3 linked regions of the Mytilus edulis genome follow. The main gene of each other region encodes a partner of the protein of the gene in region 2 in a complex. Links are inferred from orthologs where the notes say so. Each region holds a gene or a part of one and is shown on either strand. Other genes may lie near its edges.

Region 1 (8,061 bases), on a different chromosome or scaffold from region 2:
CCATTCCAATGATTGACATTAGATTAAAAACTTTACTTTGATATGAATTTGATGTTCGGATGTAAACTGTTAAATTGGCAGTGCATCATTCAAAGTGTGCATATCAGCGTGCTCATATCTGCCTAAGACTCTTTATTTGTGCAAAATGACATTGACATTGTCTAGAACTTTACTTTCGTTTTTAAAATCACATTTTTCTCAAACCGGATGTTGACGTGACAATGGTAAAACATGGACCATAAACGGATACGTAAAATCTGTGTACGTTTACAAAGCTTGACTGAGTGAAGAAGCTCTTTCCAGATAATCTTACGTCTCTCTTTCATAATTTTTTTTTTACAATAGATTCTTTTACTGTATAAAGTGTGATACGATTTTTCTCAGCTTTCCATTAAAAAAGGTCATGTTTAATTTTGAGGAATTACAATTATAAATTATGTGGGGTTTACGGTTTACATGATGATTTTTTAAAAGCTTTTTTGTATTCACATTCACACTTTTGGTTGTCAGTATAAAAGAAAGTTTGCACATTTTTTAATTATAAAGGTTTGGACTATGACTTCTGTTGTAAATCTATTGTTAGTATATCATGTTTATATCATGTGATTGTGTTGTGTAAATATAGTTTAATGTTATGAAGACATATGCTGTGTTCAAATATGATACCAAGCCATTCCTTATGACATGTATAAGTTGAACTAATACAAATTTATGTAATAAAAGTCATTTAACTTGTTATTTTCATTCCACTGCGATTAATTGTTGGTTGTTGAATGTCTGGTGGCAAATATTTCATTCATGTTTAGGTTGAATATAGCCATGCTAGTTCATTGTACGTACACTGCAGTTATAAAAATTGTAAATTTTATTTATGTCAAAACAATTTAAAACACTTACACGCATGTGTCTTTTGATATCATCATGGTGTGGATCTGGTGATCCATGCATGTTTCCATGGCCATGAGGAGAGGGTCTATTGGGTGGATGAGCTAAAAAAATAAACAGAAAAAAATGTAATGAAATGCAAAACAAAATTACAAAAAAGTCATTTCTTTTTACATTTTTTTTTAAAATAATCATCATCAGCAGTCAGGGGTACTACTTGTACAAGTTATTTTTAATTACTTGAAGAAGTAATATTAATATACTTATATAAGTAAATTTGTAGGCTACTTATACAAGTGAATCTTTGTTGAATTAATGAGATGAAACAATGAACTCTAATTAAAAAATATGAGCTAACCTAGGAAAAATCATTAAAGCCCTGATTTTACATCTCAAAACTTAAGAATATTTGTAGGATTGTAAGAAAAATTTACTTTACAAGTAAATTTTTTAGAAAATTAAAGGGAGATTATTTAAACATTATTAATTTATATATGTGTATATTTTTATGCCCCACCTACGATAGTAGAGGGACATTATGTTTTCTGGTCTGTGCGTCCGTTCGTCCGTTCGTCCGTCCGTCCGTCTGTTCGTCCGTCTGTCCCACTTCAGGTTAAAGTTTTTGGTCAAGGTAGTTTTTGATGAAGTTGAAGTCCAATCGACTTCAAACTTAGTACACATGTTCCCTATGATATGATCTTTCTAATTTTAAAGCCAAATTAGAGTTTTTACCCCAATTTCACGGTCCACTGAACATGGAAAATGATAGTGCGAGTGGGGCATTCGTGTACTGAGGACACATTCTTGTTTTTTACTTCTTCAAGTAAATTAAAATAACTTATATAAATGACTGATCAGGTATGGTTATGTGTTCATCATTATAAACATGTACATGTTATATTGATAATTTAGTAAGTGTAAATGTGTTGTATCCGTGTTGAAGACTACTTTGACCTTTAATGGTTTACTTTATACAAATTGTGACTTGTCCTATTGTGGAATTGGCACTCATCATACTCATACCACATCTTCTTGTATCTATTTGCAGTAAAACAAATATGGATGTTTACCAAAGCTCTGAATTCTTGATAACATATATTTATCATGTAATACATGTAGGATAACTATATCATATGTTCCAGACTGTATGAGTATTTAGACTGTACACGTACGGTCTGGACAGTATGCGTACTTTTTTAAAATACGCAATATTGTCGGACTGTACGGTCTGGCTAACATTAAGAAGTTGGTCAAGTTTATTAGATACAAATGTAAATAATAGATCAACAAATCTTATATCTCAAATTACTGTAATATAAAAAGTTCAATTGATATTTAAATGAAAACTTAATATTTTAACTTTTTTAAAAAGGTCACGCTAGTTTAATCTGTTAATCTCCTGTAATTAGCATGTCAGTAATACATTATTTAAAGGCCAGTATGCTCATTGAAATTGAAGGTAATGGATGTAAACAAAACGTAGGAGAATTGTTTTAGAATATTTGGAAACTTTAAAAAAAAAAAAAAAGAATGCATATGCAAAAGAGCATGCATGAACTGCAAACATGTAAATGTAAAATAACAAAAACAACATTCCTTGTGGTAGTAAGTCATGTAAGTGTCAACTTGAGCGAGAGTACAAAAATAGGATTCAGATATAGAATTAAACAAACATTTAATTTCAATTGTACGCTTATTCACTATATCCATCTAATGTAAAAATAAAATCTTGTAGAACTGAAACTACAAATTTTTGGTAATTGTTTTTTTTTTTAATTTAACCCATATGATACCAAAACATGTATGGTCAGCTGGACCGTACGAGTATACTCATATGGTCCGACCGTACGCTTACGGTTCAAATACTTGTATGGTCTATAACACATACATTTTTAGCTAGCTATAGGAATAATTGGATAATAGTCCTTTGCCGTCAGTTATGGTATGATGAAGGATTGCCCATTTTTTTGTAACACTAGTCCAAACAATTATGAAATTTTGAAAGGCTATTATATTTTTTTCTTTTTCTTTGATGCCTTACATTGATAACAAGGCATCAAGGAAAAAATTTAAAATAGCTTTCCTAGACATCATAATTATTTGGAATAGCGTGACACATGAAAGTCTAAACTCACATGAAATCAGGAAAAAAAATCAGACAGGACATGTTTAATTACAGGTTGGATAGAGGATTCTTACAAAACAATAAACAAGTCTGTGATCAGGATGCCTCCCACTCAACCCCCTACACCTTATTGCTACATTGTTTTCCCGACTTGAAATCTGTACCGCTTGGATTTTTGACATCATACAACAATCACTTTAGCATTGTGGCGTCAGATATTTTGTGTTGTGACATCAAAATTTTACAGGAACCTGTTTGATGTTCAGTAAAGGCGGACAAATTATCATTGTGTGATGTGTTTTTGTACTAATACCAATTTTCACTGCTAACGGTTTTCACTGTTGAGTTTTTATTCAGGTGTATACTCAAATTTAAAAAGCATGTCTTGTAGATTGATTTTAGGTATCTATTTTTTTTGTCTAGGCTTACTATCAGTCAGAGATATACAACTCTATAGGGTTATTACAGAAAATAACTTGCGTGTGTTATTACAGATACTTTCATGAGTTGTCTACTCTTTATTTCTTAAATTTTCTAAATCTGTAATAACATATGTTTGTTATTTGTAAAATATTTTAATTTATAATGGGTTCTAGGGAACTCTTGAGACTTTGCGCAGAAACTAAATGCATAGCCTTGATAACTAATTTGTTAATTAAATTAATACATTTTTGATTTACCATGATAAATCAATGAGACGAGGCTTTTAAGAGATAAACTTAGCTGTAATAACAAGGCTCAGTTATTAAAGTAATGTAACTTATTTTATGAGACACTTGGGAATTACTGGGAAGCTTGCGCAGAACCTCATTACATGCTCTGGTCATTATTTCTTACAATAAATTAAAATACATTGTAATTAAGCATGATGTATGTTTGAGCAAATGCTTTGGAGTGATATAGAGAAACTGTAATAACAACCTTTAATTATTATAGGCATATTTTTTCTGTAATAACATAGGTGTACTATGCAAAATTGGCAAACTATGAACTGTTATATCTTTCTATAGTTAAGTATACATAAGGACAATAGTAATACCAATAGAACTTGTATACATTTTAACTAAACTAATGATGTATATTGTCCCTTTGAAACATGTAACATACATATGTTATCACAGTTCTTTGATTTTTTAGTCCACAATAACAAATGTCTGTTATTTTTCTGTAATAACCCTATAGAGTTATATTCCTGACTGTACTATGGTTTTTTACTGTTTCCGATTACTTTGCGATTTTTGTATGTCAAAAAACAGCGTCATATGTTTTCATATACTCATGAACGTCTTTAAAAAGCGACGTTGAATATGTTTTAAATTCTTCAAGTTGTCATGGTTGTAGAGGTGTTGTTGTTCTAAATATAGAAACCGAAAAACATGCCACAATGTACGATCATGACGATTATGCAGTCGAAACCAACGAAATGTGGTTGATACGAAAACATATGACATACGAAAACATATGACACGAGGATATATGAAATAGCGATAAGATGTACCAGACCCCTTATGGCCCTTGGGTACCAGAAATGAGTTGAAGGGTGCATTTTCTGATTTATTGATTGCATGTAAGAAAGGTTGGCATGTATGTTGTAAAATGCTTGTTTTCAAATCTTTTAAGACTCACTTGGCTCAGTCTTTTGTTTTTGAGTAGGCACTCCTAACATTCTCATTACAATAGGATGGAAAAACTTAGGATACAGTGCCGTAAAACATGCTACAATGACGACAACAGTAACAATAAGTCTGACAGAAGACAGTCCTGTAGCAGACTGGTGTGTATGCCCAACTTTAGTGCTTGCAACCTTTTCCATTTCTGACAGCAGAAAGGCCAACGAGAAAAGTAAACAAAACGAAATCTCGTTTGAAGATCACGTGATCGATCAATATTAAGCTAATTTGATACGTGGACCTATCCTTTATGTAGTGGAATCAATCAAATATAATTTATTGAATTGATTTAAACAAATATGTACAAAATTTCCGTATTGTAATAACTTAGGATTATGTTTGTCGATATGAAATAACGTAATCTCACGTTACAAAATAAAATGGCGCTCTCCTTGAAAGAGCTTGCATCTTTGCTCAGGTACTAAGTTACTTTATCTGATACTAGAAATACAAAAAAATAAAAAGAACCTGTTAAAAATTACAAACACTATGGTACAACTACTTTACGATGCACGTAACCTCTTATTGATAACTGATAAATATGAAATTATAAAATTTGTGTGGGTAAATTACTAAGGGAGATAATTCTGTTGAGCAAATTCAATGAATGGTATTTGTCTAAATCATTCATTGTCATTAGCTGATTATGTCGACAATTTGTATTGCCACTTTTTTAAAAAATTTTTTAGCAGTTGACACATAATTATTTACAGCCCCATTTTAGTTACTAAGTTAGTCCGAGATTACTCTGACGTCCTACAGCTGTTTTGCCAGACAAGCTGGGGCCGTGGGACGTCAGAGCTCGTCCCATATCAAAAAGTGGATATTTGCCCACCCAAAATAGATGCGCTGCTTCGTCGCTTCTGGTGCCGACTGACGGCCTTGGAATTTTATAAATCGGGCAGCAATCTGTTCATTTTTCATTGCGTACAATGGGAGGCAACTCTCATTGTACATAATTGATGACGCCTTGTAAGAATTGCTTCCCTTTGATGTTTCATCCGGGTTCGTATTGCCATGTGGTTTTGGGCGGAAGAGCATGTTCCAGGCCACTTTTATTATGTAATTGATATAAAACATTTTTTTTTTGACATCCGATGGAGAACAATAGAACAAGAAAACCTCCAGCGTACTTAAAAGACTTTATTCTATCATCTTTTGAAATGCAGAAGGATTTCGATTCAGTTACAGAAGCTGGAGATATAATTAATTCTGAAAACGTGGTTCATCGTCAGACATCAACACCGAAATCAGACGAAGCATGTGCTGGCGTTCGTCCAAAATTACCTTCATCTACGAACATTGTGAGTGAACTTGATAAGACAATTCAAGAATTAACAATACAAAACAAAATTTTGGAACGTGATTTGTTGGCGAAACAACACGAGCTCCTTGTAGCCAAGAAAACATCCGGTGGTGAATCTTCAAGAACCAAAGCGAAGGACAATGGTAAAAAAGTTAAAACATTAAAGCTTCCATCGCTTAATGAGTTACGGAATCAAGATAAAGTTGGAAAACAGGATAAAGAGCTTACTCGACAGCTGCTTAATCAATCTTCGTCCTCTTCCGATGATTCTGATTCTGATTCTTCAAATGATAACGACGAGGATAAGGACAAAGCTCAAATCAAAGGTAATGATTTACCATATGTTATATTCAAAGATAAACAAAAAAGAACAGCAGTTTCCGGTGAAGCAAGAGCTGCTAAGGATAGAGTTAAATATGATGTGCCATGGCCACACGAGCATGCACAAACCAAATCGGTCAATTATTCTGATAAAGATTTCGGTCTAGCACAACTAGTCAGAGGTGAAACATTCATTATGCATAACATTGAAAAACAAGCCATTTCTGTGCACAGACAAAAACATCTCATTAATTTGCTTTATCTCGTTGAAAAATACCCCTTTGCGGAGATAAAGGATTTTCACGCCGAAGTTTTGCGTTCCATAGAAAGAGGTCACAAAAATTGGTCGCATGCATTTGTTGAAGAACAAGGCCGTACTCTCGTCACCCCCCTCACTTCGTCTTCGTCTACCCCGACTAAAGCATTTTTCAAGGATAAGCCGGTTAATCGCAATCCAATTTGCGGCGCATATCAAGCGGGAAACTGTAGTCGATCCGGAGATCATTTTGGAGCCTATGGAGACAAAAAACTATTGCATGTTTGCAGAAAGTGCGTCCGTAAAGGAAAAGATTCGAGTGATGCGTCTGTGCTACATCCTTCGAAGGATTGTCCGCATCATCAATGATGTTCAACTTCAGTGCTACATTGTGAATCTACTAAAATGATCAGTAATAGTATTATTCAAAAGAAATTATATTCCCCTGTAATTACAGGTGTGTTACTGTGTGATAATTACGAAAATGATGTTGTGAAACCTCCTGCAATTATGTCAGGTGCGATTGCTTCCCCTGATTATTCAGGTGTGTATGATGAGTTAACGAAATCTTATTCCCCTGCAAATATAGGTGTGTTGTTTGATAATTCACAAGATTCCTTAGGAATATCCTCTGCATATGAGGCAGATGTTTTGAGTAATATTTATGATGTTTCGTCATGTGAATCTATAGGCGAGTCAAGTTCCGTAGGTTTTAATTTAACAGGCGTTGGTTATTGTGACAATGCTTGTAGTGAAAAAACGTCCCCTGTGTTTACAGGTGTGTCTATTTATGAAAATGATTCATATTTATTGCAATCTTTATTATGTAGAACTGATTTTGACACTGTTGTCAAAGATAACAATTACATGAATTACAATGTTGTTGATGAAACTAATAATGTACTTTTAGCTTCAAGTATTTGTCCTTGGTTTACGAAAACAGCAGGGTCTATTGATTTTGAGTATTCACCAGATATGAGTGGAAATGTTTTGAAAGATGTATCAACCAAATTTTGTGAAATGAATATAAATAATTTTTCAAGTGTTCATGAAGCCGTGTTCTACAGTGGCAAGCCGAATTTTGCATATTGTAAAATTCCAGTACGTTCTAATTTCAACATACAATTGTGGGAACAACTTTTAGAAGATTATCATGATAAAATAGTCGTTGAATTTTTGAAGTATGGATGGCCGTTAAACTATATCAAAGATACACTGCCCGATCCCCCCACACGTCGACAAAATCATCTTAATCAGTTTTCAAGTTTTATTGATTCATATATTTCAAAAGAATCAGACCTTGGGGCTATTTATGGTCCTTTCCGAAAGAACCCTCTCTGTTGTCATTTAACATTATCACCATTATTCACAGTTCCTAAGGGAGATTCCGATAGGAGAGTAATTGTTGACTGTTCGCATGGCAATAATTTGTCCATAAATGAAGGCATACCTTCGGACACCTTTTTGAATGAAACTTTTAAACTTTATTATCCTAGAC
Region 2 (7,691 bases):
TACCTTGACTAAAAACATTAACCTGAAGCAGGACATACGAATGGACGGACGGAGAGACAGACGCACAGACCAGAAGACATAATGCCCCTCTACTATCGTAGGTAGGGCATAAAAAATCATTAATATTTTAAATGCAGTACATGTAATTATATCATGTATATGTATATATATTTTTATAGCGTTAAAATGTTTTCCTGAAAACATGGAAAAGTTAAACAGACATCAAATTTTCCAAAATCACCAACTGTTGAACAACATTGCTTGGGTTTCATTGCCATTAAAATCATGCAAGAACATTAAAAAACAATATAAAGTAGCTATGCAGAGGACAAATATTTACATACAGTGGGTCGCTTGACTTCAAAAATGAGCAAAAACCTATAACTTATACAGTAAAAGACAACAGCGTAACAATTGTGTTCAAGGATCACACCTAAAGTTGTCAGGATAATTCATTTAGAATTATTTTCCATGTATTCTTGCAGGTGTTGCTCTTGAGGAAATGACTCAGATTTACTACTCTATTATAAATTTGTGCAGGGTACAAAAAAGTGTAGTACATTGGAATATTTCACTGTGAATCACTCCCAATCATCAGCATCCAGGGATAAATCACTAGCATACACTTATGTGGTCATTTTTGTGTAATCTCCTCAAGCATACTGTAGCACAAATAAAGTTATTAGGCCACAATTAAAAATATTTTGGTTTGACCAAACCCTACCCAAAGGTTGAGACAGTGAGTAGGTAGGTAGGCATTTTCTTTTTCTTTTTTTTCAAGTATGTGGTGTTTATTAGTCTTCATGCCTTTCTGATAAAAAAAAACCTTCTTCAAATCAGGACAATAAAAGAATTTGGGTAGGCAGCTTTTTTCTGGGTAGGTAGGGTTTGGGCAAACAAACCTATTCTTTTTTATGGCCTTATGTGATATAAGGCCAAAACATTAACAAACTTTATCAACATGATTTTGTAAATACAAATAACATTAATGTTTGTGTACTGAAATGGAAGGATCATATTGCCAAAGATCCATGTACAATCATGACAACAATCCCTAACAAATCCTGTAAGTCAAAATCCTTAGAAGTAAACCATGGAACCCTGTTTCTTGTCTGTTGTCAGTGATAAAGTGTAGTGTTGAGTGTCCATTCATAAGTCAAATACATAAAAATGAAACAGATTAAAAAAAATCATGGTACTACAACACTGGAATGACTGGATCTGTACAAATCATCAGTCCAGGTCTCCTGAAATACTGTGAATATTTGACACCGTTTTTGAAGCTGTTGTCACATGCAGACAGCAAAAGGAATTATGTGAATTAGAAATAGATCCCTTAAGTCAAGATCACTGTATTGTTTTCAAAAAAGGATGTGAGCACTCATATGAAAAGCTGTCAATCATCAAGGGAAAATTAAAAAAATCATGAAATATTTCAGCAACCATCCAACCAATAATATTTTATGATAAAATAAAAAGGTTTGCTTTGATGGTTGATTTTATGGTTTAGGAGGCTGGACTATTCACAGAAATGTTGATAATGATTTACCAAAGCTGCAAATGTTCTGGAAATAAGCGTAGGGAAGACATAAACAAAACAACAAATTAACATAAGAAAACTTAGTTAAAAATACTGTGAATTTACAAGCATTCATACATGTAAATATAAACATCAATATGTGTATTAAAACAAATGTGGCTTTCTTTTAATATTTGATTTCCACAGTATTTATTAACTAAGTGTAATACTTACTGTGTATTCCAGGTTTCCACTAAGAATTTTCTGAATTAACAAAGTATTATTTTTCATACATATTGATCTAGATATCACCAACTTCAAAACAGCACTATTTTTTCAAAAAATGCATTATCAAATTAAAATGCTCAAAAAAATATTGAAGACTATTTTTTTCTTTTTTCTAATATAACATTACACCTAGCATCAGACATACATCTACATAAATATGTATTACATATGTAAAATGTAAATTGCAGTACATATAAATGATATTTTTTTGGAAACACATCATGCCCATAGGAATGTTTAAACAATTAGCATCTGAAACTACATTTGTACAATTTAATAACTTTATGTTCTACACCCAGAAATCAATAGAAATTTATCAAAAATTCAATTACCTAGAAGTTGGTGTCATAAAATATAAACCCTCCATGATGATTGTGATTACACAATGTTTAAAAATAGAAAGAAGAATTTTATGTTTCTAAAAATAACTTACTGTCCCATTCCTAAACTGTTGTCCATATTGTTATTTCTAAATGCCATAATATGTTACAACTTCCTGAAAAGTGATAAAAACATTTACATTGTTTTTGTCATACTTAAATAAAAAGTAACATTTAAAACAGCTGCATTTGTTTGCACCTGTCCTAAGTCAATTACCTGTTGTTTAATGATTGCTGATGTGGTTCATCAGTGTTTCTCGTTTTCGTATACATTGTACATGTATTAGACCTGTTGTTTTTTCGATACATGTACCTTTATATAATTTTTGTTTAATAAAGGTAGAGAAAATGAACCCATGGCGAACAGACTATTTGCAGGATGGTACTCAGGGCGAATAGACCTAGTACATTCCACAGGAAGTGGATAAGTGATATATAGCTAACATTAATTTATATGTAGTCATCATGTACTGTACTAAGTTATTTTCTTCTGTTTCTAATTAACTTACTCATTACTATACTGTTGTTTCATTTGTGTGTTGTTCACCCTATATTTTCTACAACGAATGCTGTATGATAACGCGTATTAAGTCGAAATGCATTACAGTATATTTAATAATTTTAAAGGAGAGTATCGGAGTATGTTCGAAATGACAAGGCCAGTCCCATCATTTGTCATTTGAGACTGTATTTTTGTATTTGCATATGTTAAATCTTACCTATTAAACACAATTATCATAGGAAATCATCGCATCATCAAGATTGTTTAATTTATTTTGTGCTACTGCAGCGAAAAGACGAATTATTGGCGAGTTAGAAAAAGAAAGAGGTTTGCTTTAAACAGGAAGTTTATTAACAGCGCCATCTGGAAGCAAGATCTGAAATTATCACCAAAAACCAACAAAAATATATACAACGTCCCATAATTAATATTCATTTAAGTAACAGGACAGAGCCAATACCACTGGGGTAAAGCTGATGACCGTAACTGCATTCACGGTCATCCCAAGATGTCGGATGAAAAATTAGGTCAGTTTCTGTATTGTCTGTTAAAGTGTTTCTATATCATTTTCTTTACAAATCATACATTGAAACGATGTAAATTTATAAAAGAATCACTCGAAAATCACTAATTACTTCCGAGAAATGTGCATGAAACGGGAAATTCGAATTGAAAAAATCGTTAAGATGACCGTAAATCATAATCAAAATATTTTCAAGATGACCGTAACATAACACAAGGATGACCGTGATTGGTAAAAAGATGACCGTAACTTGTAAAGGATGACCGTAATTTGTAAAGACTGACTGTAATTTATATAGGACGACCGTAACTTTTATAGGATGACCATCAATTCTAAGAAGTATTGTATTCAAAGCTTTTTTGTTGAGTTTGTCGATCTCAATAGGGGCTCGGTTAGCGGATATAAATATGTTTCATAAATTTCTTTTTTTAAACTATAATATAATTGGCCATATTTAGGATTTATAACAATGGTAGTAAATTGCATATTTCTCGTAAACAATGAAATATTTATTGATATCGACGTTAAAATTTTAACACAAATTTACAGCGATACGACGAAAATTTGAAGAAACATGAATGTGTCCCTAGTACACGGATGCCTCATCTACACTATCATTTTCTATGTTTAGTGGACTATGAAAATGGGATAAAACTGTAATTTCGCATTAGAATTAAAAAGATCATTCCATAGGCAAAATGTGTACTAAGTTTCAATTTTATTTAACTTGAAGCTGGACAAACGGACAAACAAACAGACGAACGGACGAACGTACGCACAGACCAGAAAAACATAATGCCAATAAATGGAGCATTAAAAACATTAATAATACATACGAATATTTGGTAATCGAGCCCATGTGTATGGGTCCAGAGGAAGCAGATTAAAATCTTAATTTGTCTTGATATATGCAGGCGGAAACACTTTTGAAATAGAACAAAAGAATCGAAGCTCTGTGTTTATCGAGAAAGCGATAAAAAGTTAACTGTAATGTTTGATATAGTAGCAAAATTTTAAAAAGTTAATAGAAACAAATAAAACGACAATTTTCTTATTTTAAAAACACCATTTGCATAAGTTTTCAATGTATCTATTACATAGTAATGCAAAACAATAAGATATCAAGTCGACGACATGGTTCTTATCGGGGCCTTTTATAGCTGACTATGCGGTATGGGCTTTGGTCATTGTTGAAGTCCTTACGGTTACCTAAAGTTGTTAATGTTTGTGTCATTTTGGTCTTTTCTGGATAGCTGTCTCATTGGCAATAATACCACATCTTCTTTTTTATATATAGTATCTATAAGTTGGATGTAGAAAATGCATAACCTCCGAATTTTTTTTTATCACGGACGGAGAACATATCAATCTTTTAGTTCAGAAATTTTCGTGTCTGCCCTTCCATTATGTGAATCAAGAAAAAATTCCCCAAAACAGGTAACGATTGTATCGAAAAGAGAAAAATCGAGTGCACCTTTTTATGTAAGGGCATGTTTGGGGTGTATATTTTGTCTTTAAAACGTACAAAGCAAGAGTATTTTATATATGTAGCATCTCGCTTCAGATTCTATCATTATTATATATCAAAGCTACAGGTTGACTTTATAACGTAAAAAAATGACAGTACGAAAAGATGAAATATATGGGTCAATTGAGATACCTATCTAATGAATCACAAAAACAGAGTAGCGTAGTTCAAATAGCTATTTTTTCTAAAAGTACTTGACGACAGTCTTTTAATTTGGATGATGAAAATGTGTGTGTGATAACTAGGGTTTATAATCTTCAACCACTGAAAATGTTTAGTCTGCCCTTCCACGAAATATTTAATTAGAATTTTTTTAAATGCTTAAGAATTTTCAAAAATTCCATCTGACATGCAAACAGACAATATTTTTAAGTTGAATCAATGCAGACAAGATCATTAACTAATGCTCATTAGCTAGTAGATACATTTGTATTTTAAAATATAACTGACATATAATTAACGATCGATCGTAATGGTGCTATGTGGATAAATTTATCAGTTTTCAAGAGCAAAATTGGCAGAGCGTCATCCCTACAATGGCTTCCATTTCTACGACTGTGAGCATGAACTGGCTTAATGGGGAGATAATTTTGAAGAAGTAGAATCCTGACTGTATGAATAACATTTCTGTATATATACAAATTGACAACGTTCCGCCTTGTGATACGCTTTTCGTACAATACTATTTTAAGGATCTACTTTGCTGGAGCTCACCTTCACTAGTTTATTCGAATGATATTTTCAAAATATTTCTGTTATTTTATTTGCACGACAAAATGAAAGACGACATAATATCAATGGGTGTAGTACTACATGCAATGTTTTGGCATTTTTTTAAAATTTGTATTTATTATATGTCATTAAAAGGAATCCCAGAAACAAAAAAAATCTTTTGTCGAGCAGTTGAAGGCTGTGCAACGCATGTCTTTTGGCAAATTCATTTTAAAAATTGAACCCTCTACTGTAAAAAAGATACATATGGTAATCTTTGCATTTGTAGCACGTCTTATTTTCTTCTACCTATAGGATAAAACTTTCATATCATTATGTGTATACCAACACGATTAATCATTTGATACAAAAAGATAGTTATATAAATACGGATATTTCTTAGAATTGAGGGTCATCCTTTAAAAGTTACGGTCATCATTTACAAATTACGGTCATCTTAAAAGCAGTTACGGTCAGCCTTGTTATGAATCGCTGATTCTGTTACGGTCATCTCGATTGTGATTTACGGTCATCTTGGCGATTTTTTCAAATCGAATTTCCCGTTTCATGCACATTTCTCAGAAGTAATAAGGGATTTCCGAGTGATTCTTTTATAAATTAACATCGTTCCAATGTATGATCTGTAAAGAAAATGATATAGAAACACTTTAACAGACAATACAGAAACTGACCTAATTTTTCATCCGACATCTTGGGATGACCGTGAATGCAGTTACGGTCATCAGCTTTACCCCAGTGAATACGTTTTTGAAAGTATTCGAGGTGGACTGTGTCTGTGTATCAGTCAGTGGCGGATCTAGAGGGGGTGTCCTGGGTTGGACCCCCTTTTTTGGACGATCAGTGCATTTCAATTGGGACATACAGTTCTGGGTTGGGAACACCCCTTTTATAAATGACTGGATCCACCCCTGATCAGTATATTCACTGCACATTAAAGGGGCACTAGCTACGAGATGCATACAAATTTAAAGTATGATTTGTTTTTGTTCAATCAATAATAAAAGTGAAATAGTGAAATGATAATTCGCTTTTAGCAGCCAAAATGGTTCAATTTTGTCAAATTAAGCTAAATAATATTGATAATGACTGATTCACTTGCAAGTGAATTAGTCGACCTCATTAAATCCGTACTCATGTGAACTTCAATTTAACCCCTTATCAGTAACCCGAATAATCCAGTCGTTATATTACGATCACTTCGAGGACAATGACCGTAAGGGGGTGCTGTAATTATTCGAGTTACCGGGCCTTATCAGAGGTTTCCCGATTTGCTACCGTGCCAACCGTAGAACGAAGTGGGAGCCGTCATTTAACTTTTGGAAATTATTGATGTATACACTTAATATCAACGAATGTTTTAGGAATCATATGCAGAACTGTTTTGAGAATTTTTAGCTGTAATTTGGGACTAATTTCATGTGGTTACTTCTTAATTGTATTCATAGGAAACAATATTGTGTGCACTCGATTATGCTTTCAAGCAACCGTTGCAAGTAACCGTTGGTGCGAAAGCTTTATAGTTAAGAGTTATATTTCATATGTCGAAATATTTATCATCACGATGTTATTTCATCTTGTTCGTTTATTATTATTATGTCACTAGATATTGTTATTACATTAATATTGGTAAATATTGTCGCGAGTTAATTTGTGTATTGCACGTGCATGCGAGTAGTATAATATAATCTACGAGGGGTAATGTTAACCAATATCGATCCATTAATCCTTTTGTCGTACAGCAATGCTAGAAAAACTTCTTACAACACAGCGTATTTTGTTTACTGATAACGGCAATAATTTGACGCTATATTTACACGTAGTCTAATGCAATATGAATATGTCTTTCTAACTCTTCGTAATGTTCTACGAAAAATACTATGTTGCTATATAATGTCTTTTGCACCATTTACAACTGATTTATGGACTCAAAATTAAGGACAATTTTTATTGGTAAATGTTTCAATGTAATTTGTTCAGGTTTACATGTACTAGTATCATGAATACGATATTACTTAAAATAATAACTCCAGTTTTTCTACCACATATTTCAAAAAATGGTTTTCTTAGTGTCATAAAATTTATATTCATTCTTTAAGTAATATAATCAACAATTTTATTAAAAAGTTCAGTGACAAAATATAAGGAAAAAGATAGATCGATATTTTTACAATGTGTATTGCGTTTTAAGAAAAAATGTTGCTCCAATGATCAAAAAGATA
Region 3 (8,284 bases), on a different chromosome or scaffold from region 2:
AAAGATGAAAAACGGCACAATGGGAAAATTGAAATGGTATATTTTGTCAATCTGAATACAGATCATACCTATGAATGTAGACACAAATCAGTTTAGAAAATGTAACCAGAGAGCGCAGTTCTTTCAAAAATTTGGACCACTAAAAATCGTCAAACGATACAGTGTAAAAGAGGGACGAAAGATACCAGAGGGACAGTCAAACTCATAAATCGAAAATAAACTGACAACGCCATGGCTAAAAATGAAAAGGACAAACAGACAAACAATAGTACACATGACACAACATAGAAAACTAAAGAATAAACAACACGAACCCCACCAAAAACTAGGGGTGATCTCAGGTGCTCTGAAAGGGTAAGCAGATCCTGCTTCACATGTGGCACCCGTCGTGTTGCTTATGTAATAACAAATCCGGTAAATAGTCTAATTCGGTAGGTCATATTCATGAAAGGGGAGGGTATTGTAGTTACGACGTAAGGAACATATCCGATATCATTTGTGAAACGGTTATTCTATAACCAGTGCTCTAGCTAGAATTCAAAAGGGGCAGGGTGCCAGTGGAGGGCAGGGCACTTTTTTATGATAGGAGAAGGCACTGCTCATTTTTTTTGTCTACGTCCCTGCGTGTATCACGATTTCACATATTTTTTTTTCTGTATATATTGTTAATAAAGATGCATAAGTTGTTTTGATTATTTATTCTATAAAATTTGCATAAGAAAAGTCATTCATACTACATGTTCATAAAACATGGCAATACACATTCATACTATTAACCAAAAGAGGCAAAATAAACTTACTTTTCTCCCCCACCCCCTCTCCTTCCAAAAGAAAGATCATAAACTAAACATCTCATAGTTGACCATACATGTACATGACAGAGTACTTTAAAATTTTGATCTAGAGCTTGACCCTCAACACCTGTTTTCATTGTTCATGTTCAGAAATATATTATTTAGTGTAGCTTCATCAAGTTGATTTGTGATTAGAGTTAAACTGCACACTTTCAGGTTAGAAAGTACATAGCTTGGACACCTGTTCAGAACTTTAAAACTTGTTTTTAAATTTCTATTTTGACAATGTATAAAACATGGATTGCCAAAAGTATGATTATCAAAAATAAATTGCAATATATTTTTTTTTGTATGTTCAAAGACAGTTAATATCCTTAAGGTAACATTCTTATATAATTTTGTATTCAATTGGTTATTTTTTCCTATTTTTAGTGCTAGATAATATTTTAGGAGCACAATTTTGTAATAAGCTTTTTCAGGGGAAATAACTCCAAAATTAATTTCCATGTTTACGTCTGCTTGTCGCTCACAAGTTGAGATGAGCGATGTTTCTGTAAAGGCATAGTTTTATTTTGATAACTTCAATTCAATTCTAAATTCACGAAAGTCTTCATTCATACACTCTTCCATGGTGACTTGAGGATCGAAAAGAAAATGCCGACACATTCATCATATTTATGACAAAGGTACATTGTCTTAAAATTAAATTACCTAGTAATTAACACCTTTGAAGTCTTATCCACTATAATTGATTGTAATGACATGATTAACCTCGTTACCTGGGGGCAATCACCAGGTGTCAGATATGTAATTGAACTTCTGATAAGAAATCGATTGAAACAAAAGGCAATTTTACCAAAACGGCACAAGGGTTTTTCGAAAAACAGCGTCAGGGCAGAAGGGCGCGGCTGAGGGCACACAGGGCGCGGCTAAGGGCACCCAGGGCGCGGCGCCCTTCTATTTTGGGCTAACGAGACCACTGGGTCAACTAACTCGTGATGGCGTCCGTAAAATTTATGAACATTACATGTTGAAATTCAAAAGACAGAATTAACTTTTTGTTTTTTTTATAAAATGAAAAGTTTTTTTTTAACCGAGGGAAATTAAACTAGAACAATGAACTTTGCCCTTAATTTTTCTCACACAACATGCACACATGGATCATTTTCCAAAAATGTCTATCAATCTTAAATTAAATTCACCATATATAACAGTCACCCAATAGGTACCAGTCCAATAGGTGTAATTTCAGATTTTAAGAATGAAATTGCTTATTTTACATATCATCTAATAATAATAATAAACAGCAGTTAACCAAATAGCGAAATTTGTACAGATTTAGTTAGACCAAAAATGTATAAGAAGGAAGTCGTTAACTTAATCCAAAACTTTGTTTTAAGTTAAGTGTTTATTGTCTATCTGATCCGTGACACATTGATACAATTTGGTAAGCGACGTCCTTTACTCGAGAGAGAAAATGTAAACTATGCAATTTTGTATTCAAAACATGGATCTGAATGGCAATTTGGTTTTATGGAAATAAGTCAAATTGTTGGAAAATATTCCCAGAACATGATAAAGACAATTTAACACTCATTTAGTTGTAGGATTATAGTTCCTTAAGGTTTTACCCTGTTAGTCAATCTGATTAACAGATTAACATGTAGAACTTTATTATAAGTACATGTATCATAAGCTATTTACTAGTTAAGTCGGCTTCATATCTTGACTTACATCTAGAAATTGACAATGAGGGTCGGTTGAAAACAAAACTTTACGACAAAAGAGATGATTTCAGCTTTCCAATTGTGAACTTTCCATTTCTAAGTAGCAACATTCCAGCAGCACCTGCATACGGGGTATATATCTCCCAATTGATACGATATTCCCGTGCTTGCATTTCCTATCATGATTTTCTTGATAGAGGGTTACTGCTCACAAGGAAGCTATTAAACCAAGAGTTCCAAATGGTAAAGTTGAAATCATCCCTTCGTAAATTTTACGGACGCCATCACGAGTTGGTTGACCGTTATGGAATAACCGTTTCACAAATGATATCGGATATGTTCCTTACGTCGTAACTACAATCCCCTTCCCTTTCATGAATGTGACCTACCGAATTAGACTATTTACCGGATTTGTAATCACCGCATGATAAGCAACACGACGGGTGTCACATGTGGAGCAGGATCTGCTTACCCTTCCGGAGCACCTGAGATCACCCCTAGTTTTTGGTGGGGTTCGTGTTGTTTATTCTTTAGTTTTCTATGTTGTGTCATGTGTACTATTGTTTTTCTGTTTGTCTCTTTCATTTTTAGCCATGGCGTTGTGTCAGTTTGTTTTAGATTTATGAGTTTGACTGTCCCTTTGGTATCTTTCGTCCCTCTTCTATTTGTGTGCCCTATCCCTTTTTCCGAAATCCGCTACTTTCTTGTTTTCTATTCATTTCAATTCTTTTGTCGTTTTTTTTATATGTATTATGTGACCATTTAAACACTAGAAATAAAGTGTATTTGCTATTTACTATCAATTCCAAGTTTACTATCCACAGCTAGTGCTCACTGATTTATTATATAGGGGGAGGGTTAAGAAAAAAATATCCTGTCCTAAAGTACCTATGGCTCCCAGTGGCAAATATTTCTGCTTATTCAAGTCGATAACTACTCAATACAATATGCATGGTATGCAAAATGTGGCCTCCCACTTAGGAACATGAAGCTATGTTAAATAGAGGCAGACATTTTGCCTCGCAATAATCTATCTACAGATACCTCAGAGACAGAACACAGAAGTAGTTCCCATAAGACGAATTTAATGTTATTGACGATATAGATTTTTTATGTTTTGACACAATCATTTTTTTTCTCAATGTAGGTCAGACTTTGTTTATTTAAAAGAATATTGAAATAACAAAAATACTGAACTCTGAATACAATTCAAAACGGAAAGTCCGTAATCAAATGGCAAAATCAAAAGCCCAAATATCGAATCATGTTATAGCTTAACTAGATCTGACTGTGTATTGATGAATTTTCTCTGGTAAAACTCTGTACATCGACTGGTTAAACATGCTGAAGATCCTATCGAAGACTAAAGCGTAGTTAATGGATTTTATTTCGCCGGACTCACCTCTAAAACCCGTTGAAGAGTAATTACACCACGTCTGAATGTACCACTGAAAGTTGGTTATCTGCATGATCAGCAAGTTCAATTGTATAAAGCCGACACTTGTTCTGAATTAAGTTATTAAGTAAAAAGTTATGAGAAAGTTTTGATAACATATCATCTGTAGCTGAAACATATGTGCACGCTTAATGTGTCCACTTACCCAATTCTCCCCTACTATTATTTCAGGAGCATCTATTAATGGAAACTAGTTCAATATAGGTAGTCATGATCAGCTTGTACAATATAATCATGTTTGTTCAAATGTTGATCCGGGATACCCCCAAAAAAGTCCGAAAGGCCAGTTCGTCTGATGAGGAGGGAATTTAGTGGCTGTCAAAAATCTAATGCCGAAAGTAATAATTAAAACTCAAATTTACAAACGGCAAAAGTCCTCAGGCGGCGGGCCGGGTCGCCTAGTCCCCCCTCCATGATTCCAATCTTAAATTGTTGATCTTGACTCAGACATGTACAGTACGTGAACAATTTTCATGGTGGTATGTTTACACGTGTATGTTTACAATCAATACTACCGTGACTAACGTACGGTACCCAAATTGCACCGAGTACCCAAATTGCGCCTATTTAGCAAAAATAGCAGCGGACATCTAGGTGCAATTTGGGTATATACCGTCACGTTACGTTCCTCCTCATTTCTGAAACAATTATTAAAAAACATTGAAAAAATATTGATCCGTTAAAAGTTTAGACTGTCGTGCGTCTGCACTGAGACTACTATAACATGTGTTATAGTAGTCTCAGGTCTGCATAAGAAAACAAAGAGACAGACCACGGAAAACACTTTAACAAAACCAATTTCACTACGTTCTCATCAAAATGCTCAAATAATAGTTGATTAAAAATATATTCCAAAAGAATCATGAAGACATCGATATTGAGCGATGCACATCATGCACAAATAGGGCTCTTCACGGTTAGTTCGGCCATATTGGATAGGGGGCAGATTTTCATAATAGAGGTAAAAATGGTGTGAAAAATACGGGAAAACATCATTAAAACAGAGCTGTTGCTTGGAAACACACATAGGATTTCCCACACTTTCATACCATTTCCACCTCCTTCCAAAAAATCTGCCCCCTATCCAATATGGCCGAACTAACCGTGAAGAGCCCTATTTCCGGCGGAAACTTTTTTCACGAACTGAAAGCTGAAAACTTTCGGCGTGTAAATTTTCTAACTTGTGAAATAACTTTAAATGTTGTGATTTTAGAATGACAGATTGTTTTACCGTTAACCATTTAAACTAACTGAAGGAAACTAGATATTTGTTTGATCAAAATATTTTTACCAATAACGCATTTTTAGTACGTGTCACATGATCCAATGCTTCGTTTAAAGTCGGGAAGTTTCGGCACGGATTTAACATGGCTGCTGTGACGCCATGTCGGTGTTGAAAATGACAATGTAAAACCGTAGAAATTTCCAGATGCCAGGCCAACAGAGGCCCCATATGACTAATTTACTTTATAATTATTGTGCAGAGAGTGTATATAGTGGACTAGGAGAGCTTCAAACTGATTTGGGGCTTTCGTTTTCAGTTTAATGGAATAATATGAATCTTGACTCATTATCTTTTGCCTTGGCTGAAATAAGTTATTCAGTGGCCAACTTGACAAAGAAAAATTTTAAATCGAGTATAACAGAAATAAGTCATGTACGTATAATCATAAGATTAATTCCAATATCGCTTATATACTGTTTATAACCAGAGATTTTGTCAAGAGTATCGTTATCAAGGGAGATAATTTCAGCTCGTGTGATCTTGACCAATATGTGCACATGGTGTACTGGTAAAATCAGCTGATATATGATGTTGTTATCACTTTGAAATAAACCATGTCATTTGTTTGTATTGAAGGCATTGCCCCATGATAAATTTATGCAGCCTTTTAGTTTGACTGTCTGAACTTTGATTATGAGTTTGAAAGAGGTCCAGTGCTGTGATGGTATCGGGATCGTTTGCCCTAATACATGTTCGCCCTAGGTTCGTTCGCACTGAGTTTGTTCGCCCTGGTAATCCGTTCGCCCTGGGTTCGTTCGCCCAATTTTCATTTATGATATGTAAAATTGAGAAAGGAAATGGTGAATATGTCAAAGCGACAACCACCCGACCATAGAGCAAACAACAGCCGAAGGCAACCAATGGGTCTTCAATGTAGCGAGAATTCCCGCACCCGTAGGTGTCCTTCAGCTGGCCCCTAAAATATGCATAATAGTACAGTGATAATGGACAATGTATACGTTACATTAATGAAAGAAATATATATTTATATATATATTAAAATTTATGTATATCTATTAAAAGTTAAATACAGAATATTAATGAAATAAAATTTTTGGCTGCATTGTTACACTTTATTTTATAATTACTGTTGATTGAATTTTGATTGCTGATAATTTGAAATCTTTGATATCACTGATTGTTATATGAATTGTCTTTGATGGATTAATAATGAAAATAGCATTTTTCCCAAATAAAATTTTTACAAATTATTGCCAAACTGTACCGTCCGACAACCCACTTGACCAGGCGCGGATCTAGATGGGGGGTTCCAGGGGTTGGAACCCCCCCTTTTTTTGGACAATCAATGCATTTGAATGGGGACGTGTAATTGGAACCCCCCCTTTGTCCTGGGTTAGGAACCCCCCCCCCTTTTAAAATGGCTGGATCCGCCCCTGCACTAGACAACGTTCAGCCGCTGCAGTAAAGAATTTTAGATCAATTAACACTTTGAACTTTGAACACTTTCTTATGTATAACTTTAGTGCTCCTAATGTATCATTTTTATTGATCAAATCATGTGTGGAAATGTAAAGCAGAGTAAAGTATATATGTCTCTGTGTAAAGAAAAAGGATGTGTGATAGTGATTTCCTAGTAACGTAATTACATACAGATACTAACTTAGTTCTCAATAGTTCGTTAATATTCGGCGAAATTGTAGAGACTTCAACACACAACACTATAATAAAAAATAAAAATCAGGGCGAACAGGTATCAGGGCGAACGGTCTCAGGGCGAAACGGAACTAGGGCGAACAGTAACTAGGGCGAACCGAAATCAGGGCGGACGGACCCGGATTCTGCTGTGATCATGTGGAATCAGTTGCTCCATAACACATATGCACTTAACATGATCACATCCTATATTTATTCAAAATTAGGTTGAATTAATTTTCTTGTATTGTTTCGGTGATAATATCAATATCATGAATATATATACATGTATGTTAGACTCAGATTGACGTCTGCTCCTCATATTAATCGACTTCCAAATGGTATCCAGTCCTTCCGGCCCCAAACCGATCCGGCCCTACTTCGTTCCTGCCCCTCGTCGATCTGGCCCCATAATAAATGATGAGGAATAAACTACAGACTTTTAATTAGTATAAATGGATTTTGTAAAAAGTATCAATAAAGGATGACAACAGGCAAGTGTGAGGAATTTTAAGAACTTCAAACAAAAACAAAGTTTGTACGTATCAGCTTGGGGATCGGCTTGAACCGTTGTGTATGTAACTATTTATTATTACACAGGATTAAAGACTTGTTAAGATCACAGTCAATTGAAAGAAATTGATAATTTAATACTGATGATTAATGTTGATTGTCCTAATTTCTGTTATATTTTTTTAATATAATTATACCCAATAATCTAGAAAACTTATAGTGAAAACATTTTGTTTTACATTACACCTTTTACATTGTAATAAAATTCAGAAATTCAGAAAAACATCAACATGCATATTAATACATACAATGTATGTATTTTGGTGAAAAATGTTCATATTATTGACCTACATTGTCGTTTTCCTCTCCTTTTCAATTAAATGAATGACATGTAGTTTGTCACTGGTATTCATGATTTCAGTCTTATTTATTTTCATAAACGATAAATACAAATTCGTGAACTATTTTTTTTTTTTAATGAATTAATTTTTTTTATGATTATATGATGAATTAGTAATTGCTGAATATTTATGATTACTTTTATAAAAATTGTAAGGTTAGTTTCAAAGCAAAATTGGTATCCTGGTTATTTGTTTGAAAATCACTATTGTTGTAATAACTAGCTTTTATGTAAAGTAAAATACATACAGTTAGCTTAGTAAGGCCAAAAAATCATTACCTGGTTCCACAGTCTTCACGATGAACTGCTAAATCTACAGGCCCAGCGCTCAATTTTTGAAATTTTTTAGTTAGATTCTGTTGGCCTGTAGATACAAGCCTGGGCTGCCACTCAGCGTGACGACTGGGTTCTAGCTACCCTATATCCCCTTGTTTAATTGATTTCAATGCGAGAGGC

Evidence for each region. The genes of interacting proteins can lie anywhere in the genome.
Region 1: CCR4-NOT transcription complex subunit 2-like (region 2) and CCR4-NOT transcription complex subunit 11-like share a complex: the UniProt entries of both Homo sapiens proteins name them as parts of the CCR4-NOT complex. The link is inferred for Mytilus edulis from reciprocal best matches to the Homo sapiens genes CNOT2 and CNOT11.
Region 3: the proteins of CCR4-NOT transcription complex subunit 2-like (region 2) and CCR4-NOT transcription complex subunit 1-like are in contact, whole or in part, in a crystal structure (PDB 5FU7), measured with the Homo sapiens proteins. The link is inferred for Mytilus edulis from reciprocal best matches to the Homo sapiens genes CNOT2 and CNOT1. Residues at the interface, in NP_001186231.1 of Homo sapiens: Met350, Val351, Asp353, Gln354, Phe355, Gly356, Met357, Ile358, Gly359, Leu360, Leu361, Phe363, Ile364, Arg365, Gly372, Met373, Val374, Leu376, Ala377, Leu378, Gly379, Ser380, Asp381, Leu382, Leu385, Leu387, Asn388, Leu389, Ser391, Glu393; in NP_057368.3 of Homo sapiens: His1864, Ser1865, Ala1866, Ala1867, Arg1870, Asp1871, Gln1917, Pro1921, Ala1923, Pro1925, Ala2003, Tyr2036, Leu2039, Glu2040, Ser2043, Arg2045, Ile2048, Ala2049, Ala2053, His2054, Leu2079, Leu2084, Lys2086, Gln2089, Ile2090, Leu2091, Tyr2092, Lys2093, Gly2094, Leu2096.

What each region holds. Positions count from the first base shown.
Region 1 is NC_092350.1:62,779,125-62,787,185, forward strand, and holds the start of CCR4-NOT transcription complex subunit 11-like, read left to right. Parts: upstream 1-4,950; 5' UTR 4,951-5,060; coding exon 5,061-5,098; intron 5,099-8,061. Other genes in the region: resistance to inhibitors of cholinesterase protein 3-like, read right to left, coding at 898-989, 4,637-4,823. UniProt on the Homo sapiens protein: Component of the CCR4-NOT complex which is one of the major cellular mRNA deadenylases and is linked to various cellular processes including bulk mRNA degradation, miRNA-mediated repression, translational repression during translational initiation and general transcription regulation.
Region 2 is NC_092353.1:84,019,140-84,026,830, reverse strand, and holds the start of CCR4-NOT transcription complex subunit 2-like, read right to left. Parts: upstream 3,063-7,691; 5' UTR 2,907-3,062; intron 2,304-2,906; 5' UTR 2,288-2,303; coding exon 2,241-2,287; intron 1,784-2,240; coding exon 1,754-1,783; intron 1-1,753. UniProt on the Homo sapiens protein: Component of the CCR4-NOT complex which is one of the major cellular mRNA deadenylases and is linked to various cellular processes including bulk mRNA degradation, miRNA-mediated repression, translational repression during translational initiation and general transcription regulation.
Region 3 is NC_092348.1:63,139,841-63,148,124, reverse strand, and holds the start of CCR4-NOT transcription complex subunit 1-like, read left to right. Parts: upstream 1-5,173; 5' UTR 5,174-5,532; coding exon 5,533-5,634; intron 5,635-8,284.